Xenopus tropicalis: one gene and its partner. Each later gene encodes a partner of the first gene's protein in a complex. Links are inferred from orthologs where the notes say so. Each region holds a gene or a part of one and is shown on either strand. Other genes may lie near its edges.

Region 1 (4,503 bases):
ATATAGAAATGCTGATGCTGGGAGAAGCATAGATTTGCAAGCAGGGAAAGGAATACACTGGAATACAACTGTAGGTTAATGTAGCATATTTCTAGCTAGTATAAACTATAACCTCAGCCCCTTCACCAAGTTCTCTGTTATGGGGTAGCTTCCTACAATGAAAATGAGGGACAAGGAAACAATGTTTTTCTTTGTCAGAAAGCCTAACTTTAAAATTAAATGTGCCCTGTAACTGGATTTAACACGCCATTATTTACAATAAATGTCATTAACTAATTCCTCCCGTGTAGTTCTAGGATGCTTTTTCACCTTTCTCAGAATCATTGACACCCCACGAGGTGAGATCTTGCGTGGAGCCCCAGAGCGAGGTCGATTGATGGTCATTTTGTGCTCCTTCCATTTTCGAACAATCGCACCAACAGTTGTCACCTTCTCTCCCAGCTTCTTGCTAATGGTTTTGTAGCCCATTCCAGCCTTGTGCAGGTCTACAATTTTGTCTCTGACATCCTTGGACAGCTCTTTGGTCTTTCCCATGTTGGAGAGTTTGGAGTCTGCTTGACTGATTGATTCTGTGGACAGGGGTCTTTTATACAGGTGACTAGTTAAGACAGGTGTCCTTAATGAGGTTGACTAATTGAGTAGAAGTGTCTAACCACTCTGTGGGAGCCAGAACTCTTAATGGTTGGTAGGGGTTCAAAAACTTATTTCACTCAATGAAATGCAAATGCTATCTTTTATTTAAAGTTATTTTTTCGATTTTCCTTTTGATGTGCTATCTGCCACTGTTAAAATAAACCTACCATTGAAATGATACTGTTCTGAGACTTTTCATTTCTTTGTCATTGGACAAACTTACAAAATCAGTGAGGGGTCAAATAATTATTTCCTCCACTGTATATAAAACTGGGTACTTTATTTATAGCCTAATAAGACAACTGTGTGCATATAGCGTTAGCCTGTTTTAGGGGTTAGCGCAGTGATCCCCAACCAGTGGCTCAGGGGCAACATGTTGCTCCCCAACCCCTTGGATGTTGCTCCCAGTGCCCCCAAACCAGGTAGTTATTTTTCCTGACTTTGTGGCGTTCTGGTTGAATAAAAACAAGATTTTCTACCAAATAAAGCCCCCTGTAAGCTGATAGTGTGCATAGAGGCTGCCTAATAGCCAATCACAGCCCTTATTTGGCTCCTCCATTAACTTTTATGATGCTTGTGTTGCTCTCCAAGTCTTTTTACATTTGACTGTGGCTCACGAGTAAGAAAGGTTGGGGACCCCCGGGTTAGTGTAGGTTAAGCCCTACTCAGGGCTCCTAAATAGTTAATAATTATGAAACTAAGCCGCTCATACTGCGATACAGTCCCTCTTACAACACTGCTAGCCTTCACACAGCCCCTGCCTCGCCTCTCAAACCTTGTTTTCGGCTCCATAGCAAAGCTGCCCAAACTACTCTTCACCCCACACACACACACACTGGCAGAACCTCAAGAATGCCAACACTTCTCTCAGACACTCAGCGCCACCCTAACGTTACAGCGGCCAGCTCCAAATATTCAACCGCAGCGAGGTATGACCCCTAAGTGAGGCCTGAGTATGCCTTCCCGTCTCTTGTAGTTACGTCACGCATAGCGAATACCTGGAACGCAGTGACCCCGCCCCCTCCGCGCTGCATTCTGGGTAGCTAATTTGAAAGCGAAGCGGGCTTTAGTGTTTCCATTCTGCCGCGTAGTAGTTCCTGGCATATCCAGCCATGGACGGGGAGGAGAGGCCGTCGACTGGCTCGAATGAACCGGGAGATCTGCACAGGAGCCGAGTGGAGCCCGAGCAAGTAGAAAGATATGAGCTGTAAGTAGTTAGAGGAAGCGCTGTATTGTCTGTATAACCTGCCTGCAGACTGAGTGAGTGGTGCTGTCTGGGCCGCCATAAAGAGACCCTGTAGCCAAGTGCGCATTGTGTTCCTCCTTAGTAACATGTTGGGCTTATCCATTGCCGCCCTGGAGTCTCTGCCCCCTGTGTGTGTGATGGGCATTTATATGGGGCATTTATATGGGGCATGTGGGGACAGCTGAGCGGCTTGGCTTGTATGGGGAGCCCAGAAATCAGTGCCTGGGGATCTGCCCTGGGGGCCAGCATGGCAGGGGCAAATGTACATACATATTAAATTGCCAGTCAGTATTTCCGGGATGGCCAGGTTGTATCAGTCAGTCAGTCTGTCTGTCACTACCCAGCAAAAGGGCCCCCCCTGTGTTCCTTTAGAGATAGGGGCCCCCGTGTTCCTTTAGAGGTAGGGGCCCCCCTGTGTTCCTTTAGAGGTAGGGGCCCCCCTGTGTTCCTTTAGAGGTAGGGGCCCCCCGTGTTCCTTTAGAGGTAGGGGCCCCCCGTGTTCCTTTAGAGGTAGGGGCCCCCCGTGTTCCTTTAGAGGTAGGGGCCCCCCGTGTTCCTTTAGAGGTAGGGGCCCCCCGTGTTCCTTTAGAGGTAGGGGCCCCCCGTGTTCCTTTAGAGGTAGGGGCCCCCCGTGTTCCTTTAGAGGTAGGGGCCCCCCGTGTTCCTTTAGAGTCAGGGGCCCCCCGTGTTCCTTTAGAGTCAGGGGCCCCCCGTGTTCCTTTAGAGTCAGGGGCCCCCCGTGTTCCTTTAGAGTCAGGGGCCCCCTGTGCAGCCCTGCCTAGCTGGGCATTATGTCCATGGGGAGGGGAGACATCTCTCTCCTGCTGCTGGGATCTGTGAGTTCTGCCTTGGGCCTTACCCCACTTGTTTATTTTATTATAAAGCAGTGATCCCCAACCAGTGGTTCGTGAGTAACATGTTGCTCCCAGTGGCCTCAAAGCAGCTGCTTATTTTTGAATTTCTGGTTAGGAGGTAAGCTTTGATTGCATAAAAACCCAGTGTAATTGCCAAACAGAGCCTTCTGTAGGCTGCCAGTCAACATAGGGGCTACCAAATAGCCAATTATAGCTGTTATTGGCACCCCAGGAACCTTATTCATGCTTGTGTTGTCTCCAAAGCTTTTTCCATTTGAATGTTGCTCATGGGTAATAAAGGTTGGGGACCCCTGTTATAAAGGGTGGATTATTGTTTATTTGTTTGGTTCTAAAAGGAAGGTGGGAAGTTCACTGTTAGTGACTTAATATGTTATATATGGATCAGTTCTGAACAACCTGTCAACCGGTTGGGGTAGCGGTTCAAAAAGTTCTTAAAAGTAGGACTAATTGCAGACTGACAGAATAATGCTCCCTGCATCATACTAACATTTTATTCTAATGGCATTGCCATATTTTGAAGGTTTCTGGATTATGAATATCTAAATTGTAAATCTCATACCTGTGTGTATATGTGTAACTATAATGGTGGCAATAAAAGGGGACCTGTCACCCTAAGAAATAATTCCAGATTGCTTTCAATTGTGTTTGTCAAGCAAAATAAACTTTACTTACAACATATAAGGTAGTTTAATCTTATTTTCTTTAGCCTTCGAATTCACAGTTGCAGAAAGCAGGCAGGTGCCATTTTGTGGAAACTGTTATTAGGTCAAGCTTTGCATCCTGCCAAAATCTTGTTTCTGTGCCAGTATGGGGTGACCTGATACCCATACCCATGCACTGGTTACACAATGAGATTGTGAGGAGGGCAGAAACATCTAAGAAGTTCTGAATTGAAAGTGAAAGTAACTGCCAACCCCACCTCTATGCCTAAGGCATAGAGGCGGGGCAAGCAATAAATGATTGACAGTTTGGATTTTTAAATGCTTTTATAATGGGTATGGATGTGTTAATAATAAAATGCGTTTGGGGTTCATATTTCATTTGAAATGGGCTTTTATTATACAGCTTTTTATGCCTGGATGACAGGTCCACTTTAAAAGGGAAGGAAAGGCTAAGTCACTTGGGGGTGCTAAAATGTTAAGCACCCCCAAGTGACTTGAATCGCTTACCTCGTACCCCGGGCTGGTGCCCCTATTAGGAGAAAACAGCACCAGCCCGGGGCACCTGGGGCGATGCGTTTCCTCCTTCCGCCTTCCTTTCCCTGAGACTCCAAGTCCGACGCGTGCGCAGTAGAGTGAAACGCCGACTTCTCTGTTAAAGTTCGGCTTTTCACTCTACTGCGCATGCGCGCGCAGCGAGGGAGGAAGGAGGATGCGACTGCTGCTACCCCGGGCTGGTGCGGTTTTCTCCATACAGGGGCACCAGCCCGGGGTAGAAGGTAAGCGATCTAAGTCACTTGGGGGTGGATAACATTTTGGCACCCCAAGTGACTTAGCCTTTCCTTCTTCTTTAAGTATAAACTGCTTAAAGTGGACCTGTCACCCAGACATAAAAAGCTGTATAATAAAAGTCCTTTTCAAATTAAACATGAAACCCAAATTCATTTTTATATTAACACATCCAAACCCATTATAAAGGCATTTAAAAATCCTAGCTGTCAATCATATATTGCTTGCCCCGCCTCTATGCCTTAGGCACAGAGGCAGGGCAGACAATAACTTTAGCTTTCCATTTAGCACTACCTAGATG
Region 2 (3,818 bases), on another chromosome or scaffold:
AGAAATGTATGAAAATAGTATTTTTTGTGATTATACGATAAACTGTGCTATTGCTGTAGACTGCAATGGAAGGATATTTTCAGATGTTTTATTCCACATGCAAGAAGTGATCTCACGTGGTGACAAAAGGCACCATAGGGTTATTTAACGTTATTGCAAGCTTTTTTGCGTTAAAATTGACGTGAAAAAAAAAAAGTGCGCAATTCGATAAAGTATTATCGCATGCATTAAATAGCGTGCAACCGAATGTGTTAATTAGCGCGCAGAAATAATATTAACACATGATTCACAAACACTTAGACGCGCTAAATATCGCATTAGTCTGTGCAAAAATTAACACCTACTTAGGGCAGGCGGTAATTATAGAAAAGTACAGTTCATGAGTTTTGGCAACACAATATGGACTTTGCAGTGTGATTTATTGAAGTATGCATGGCCCTAGAGTGATGCATCCTCCAGTTTGCAGGGAAATGATCATTTTCAGAAAAGTAGTTTTACGAATGTAATGATGTGTATGGCTAATATGGCGTGTGCGCGATAAGTAGTGCACGTGCGTTAATTAGTGCGCACGATAAGTGGTGCGCTTTGTTAATTAGCACGCGTTGCATCAAATGCCGCACAAAAATAGTCTTTGCAACTTAAATAACGCAAACAACATCGCATCTAATTTAACGCAAGTATCCTTTTAGTGAATCGTGCATTAAGACACAATAAATTTTTTAACGCATGCTATAAATAGCGCTCGTTTTATCGCACTTTAGTGAATCAACTCTCATGTGTCTTTATTTACATATATATATATATATATATATATATATATATATATATATATATATATATATACACTCTCCGGAAGGAACTGAAACGTTGGATCAATAAAAACCTTAAAAGAATTTTGGTTTATCTATGATACTGCTGACCCGTTGACTCCTAATCGTGTAAATCCTGTGAGTGCCGTCATCTCTCTACAATATAAAATATATACTGTATATGTACTACAGTACCCTGGCAATGTTTTCTGTCAATAAAAGATATTCCAAAAGCATTATAGAGACCAGCACAGGTCCTTGGTTTATTGCTGAAAAAAGAAAAAAAAGGATTCACCTCTGGAATAAGTCGTCTTTTTTTTACAGTTGTTACAGTTTCAGGCTCACTGTTTGGACCATCGCAAATAAAAGAAGTTTGTTTTCTTTTGTTGGGCTCAGGCTGCCCAACAAATATGCAGTCTGGCACTTGCTTCCTTCCAGATACAGCACCTGAACAGTCCAGCAAATCATCTTCATGGCATGCCTCCACTTTTACTTTCACTGTAAGAAAAAAGTATACAGAAAAAACAAATTTTAAAGGAGTACAACAGGTACTTGTTATATTATATGGATTCCAGTACATGAAGAATATTACATTGGGAAATGCATTTTTTCTCTTATTAATGGGAATATTTTCCTTATTTATAACTTTTATTATATAACTTTATTATTATTATAGCTTTACATTACATTACAGTACAAGTGTACCCAATACATTCATGACACATGATTCTGCCTTACTGACCACCTCAGTAAGCACTTTCTGCAAGTATTTTAAGCCTCTTATGCACTCTGCCCACCAAATGCATAATACTAGTATCTTTATGTAAACTGTGCAACAAAAAAAACATGTATTTATCAACACTGATTTTTCCAAGTGAAAAAACAAAAGTTTATATTGAATTCTTCCCTCAGACATGGCATTCCTACGTTGCTCTCATCTGAAAATGCAGAACAAACAAAAGTAGCCAAAACACAGACAAATCTTCTGATGTAATAACTATAAGAAATAATGTGGCTCTGATTGTAATAGGAAGAAGTGTGTGTGCAAAACAATAGCTCTAACCATTTATTGGCTGTTTTAACTTAGCATGTATGTATGCCCTTGCCTTTTGTGTGAGCAGAGAGCCTCATACGAGTGGAACGTGCTACAAGAATAATATCATTTTCATGAAAAGGCTTTATGTATTTGAATCGTTTTACATATGGGCTAAATCATTCATTTTTTAAAGAGATCTGCAATGTGTAATGGTAAAGTTTCCTAAGATATGATGTCTGCAGATCAAGAACCAAGTAAGAGGGCTTACAACAGTTGCAGACACCAGAGGTCAACCAATAAGACAACATCAGAACTTCAGTATCATCTACAGGTCTTGATATACCAGTCCTCTGTACCCTTAAAGGACATGTAAAGCCTACATTTTCCTACAATGTATATCAGTTGGGCATGTCTCCCCCACCCAAATGGCATCATTTGTACTGCATATACCCCCTCCGCTTGCTACCACCATAACATTTTCCTGTGAAAAATGGTAGCTTTCTCCCAGTGGCCATTTTGCATTCATAATCATACATACATAATCAGTTACATTTAAATCTGCAAAGAGCATACACACACAGACCTCTATTCAGCATACATTTAATCAAGAATGCAGGTTCACACAGGCAAAACTGTCTCTGATAAAAGTTCTGCAAAACTTTTTGTTTGAGCACTGTAATGGTAAAGCTGAGCTCAGGAGAAAAAAATGGAAGCAGACAGCTAGAGCAGAGTTTCTATGGGAACCAGTAATGCCATCTCTTCACTGGCTGCTAGACTGGGGGGCGTGTTTAGTAATCTGAGCTTAGAACAACTGAGCATGTCTGGCAAGCCAGGAATCAAAGCAAATTCCTGAGGGAGGCGGCCGAGTGGGTTACAGGAGGAGAAGCAAATCTAAGTGATTAAGGGGATGCTGCAGCCTTACTATTAATCTCTGGACAACCAGTGTGGCATGTATTGAAAGATTTCAAAGAGGCTGATCACTGATTACATATTTGTGGGGTTTACATGTCCTTTAAATACATATGCTGGATTGTGCCTAGAATAAAGAATAGCTATGCCGGCTATAATAAAATAAGGGAAGTGTTCATGCTGTGTACATTTCTTTATAAAGCCATGAGTGGCTGTTTTCAGCTGGCTGCACACAAAATTATGTCAGGCCACAAGGGGATTATAACAAAACAGAATGGTGGGTGGTAATAAAGGAGGTTTCAGCTAGTCAGCCTAACAACTATATGAACGCTATAGGAAAAGCAAATATACTTTAGCCTCGCAATATTTAAAACTAAATAACTAAAAACTAAGCGTAGCGTTCCCCTTTAAACAAGAGCAATAGCATAGACATTATAAAATAGTCTGGCTGTGTATCAGCAACAACAGGTTTATTACATTGATTTATAGAGTTAATCTATTGAAATTTCTATATGAGATTTAAATACACATTATGGCAAATTTACATCAATGCAAGGTTGCTTGTGGGAATCTAGTCTTAAAAACCCTAGAACCGAAAGGGTAAAAGGAAGTGATAAAAATGAGAGAGAAGTTGACAGTTCCCTTAAGAGATAAATATAATACAATTAGGAAGGGGCGTTACTCATTACATAAAGATGACTATTTTTTGCATTAATTAGAAAATAATTTCAGTATTGATATTTGCCAAGCCAATTAGAAGTTTGGTACCTAAAGCAGTAGTTAACATTTGATGAACAATACCTTTTTTATCGTCATCATCATTATTATTATTATTATCTTCTCGGAATTCAGTTGGGTTCATTTTCATACCTCCCTGCAAGATAAAATACAATAAGAAGATCAGGCATGCACAGTGCGGAGTACAACAACTGTCAGTCCTAACAATTCATCAATGAAAAACATGCACTTAAAGGATAACAAATGCCAAATCACTTGATGAGGGTGCCATTTTATTAGACACCCCAATGATACTAATCTTTCATATGGAACACTGAGCTGGCACC

What was found.
Region 2: the proteins of ercc6l (region 1) and bend3 are in contact, whole or in part, in a crystal structure (PDB 5JNO), measured with the Homo sapiens proteins. The link is inferred for Xenopus tropicalis from reciprocal best matches to the Homo sapiens genes ERCC6L and BEND3. Residues at the interface, in NP_060139.2 of Homo sapiens: Ala10, Glu11, Ala12, Leu13, Ser14, Pro15, Glu16, Ala18, Ala19, Tyr21, Leu22, Arg23, Lys26, Phe51, Pro52, Asn53, Glu54, Lys55; in NP_001073919.1 of Homo sapiens: Glu252, Gln255, Ile256, Gln259, Leu261, Asp265, Arg269, Val272, Gln273, Pro276, Phe279, Ser280, Phe335, Arg338, Phe339, Gln342, Glu346.

Annotation. Positions count from the first base shown.
Region 1 is NC_030684.2:39,733,696-39,738,198, reverse strand, and holds the start of ercc6l (DNA excision repair protein ERCC-6-like), read left to right. Parts: upstream 1-1,642; 5' UTR 1,643-1,745; coding exon 1,746-1,840; intron 1,841-4,503. UniProt on the Homo sapiens protein: DNA helicase that acts as a tension sensor that associates with catenated DNA which is stretched under tension until it is resolved during anaphase. Functions as ATP-dependent DNA translocase. Can promote Holliday junction branch migration (in vitro).
Region 2 is NC_030681.2:79,031,676-79,035,493, reverse strand, and holds part of bend3 (BEN domain-containing protein 3), read right to left. Parts: intron 3,629-3,818; 5' UTR 3,623-3,628; coding exon 3,556-3,622; intron 1,308-3,555; coding exon 1,105-1,307; intron 1-1,104. UniProt on the Homo sapiens protein: Transcriptional repressor which associates with the NoRC (nucleolar remodeling complex) complex and plays a key role in repressing rDNA transcription.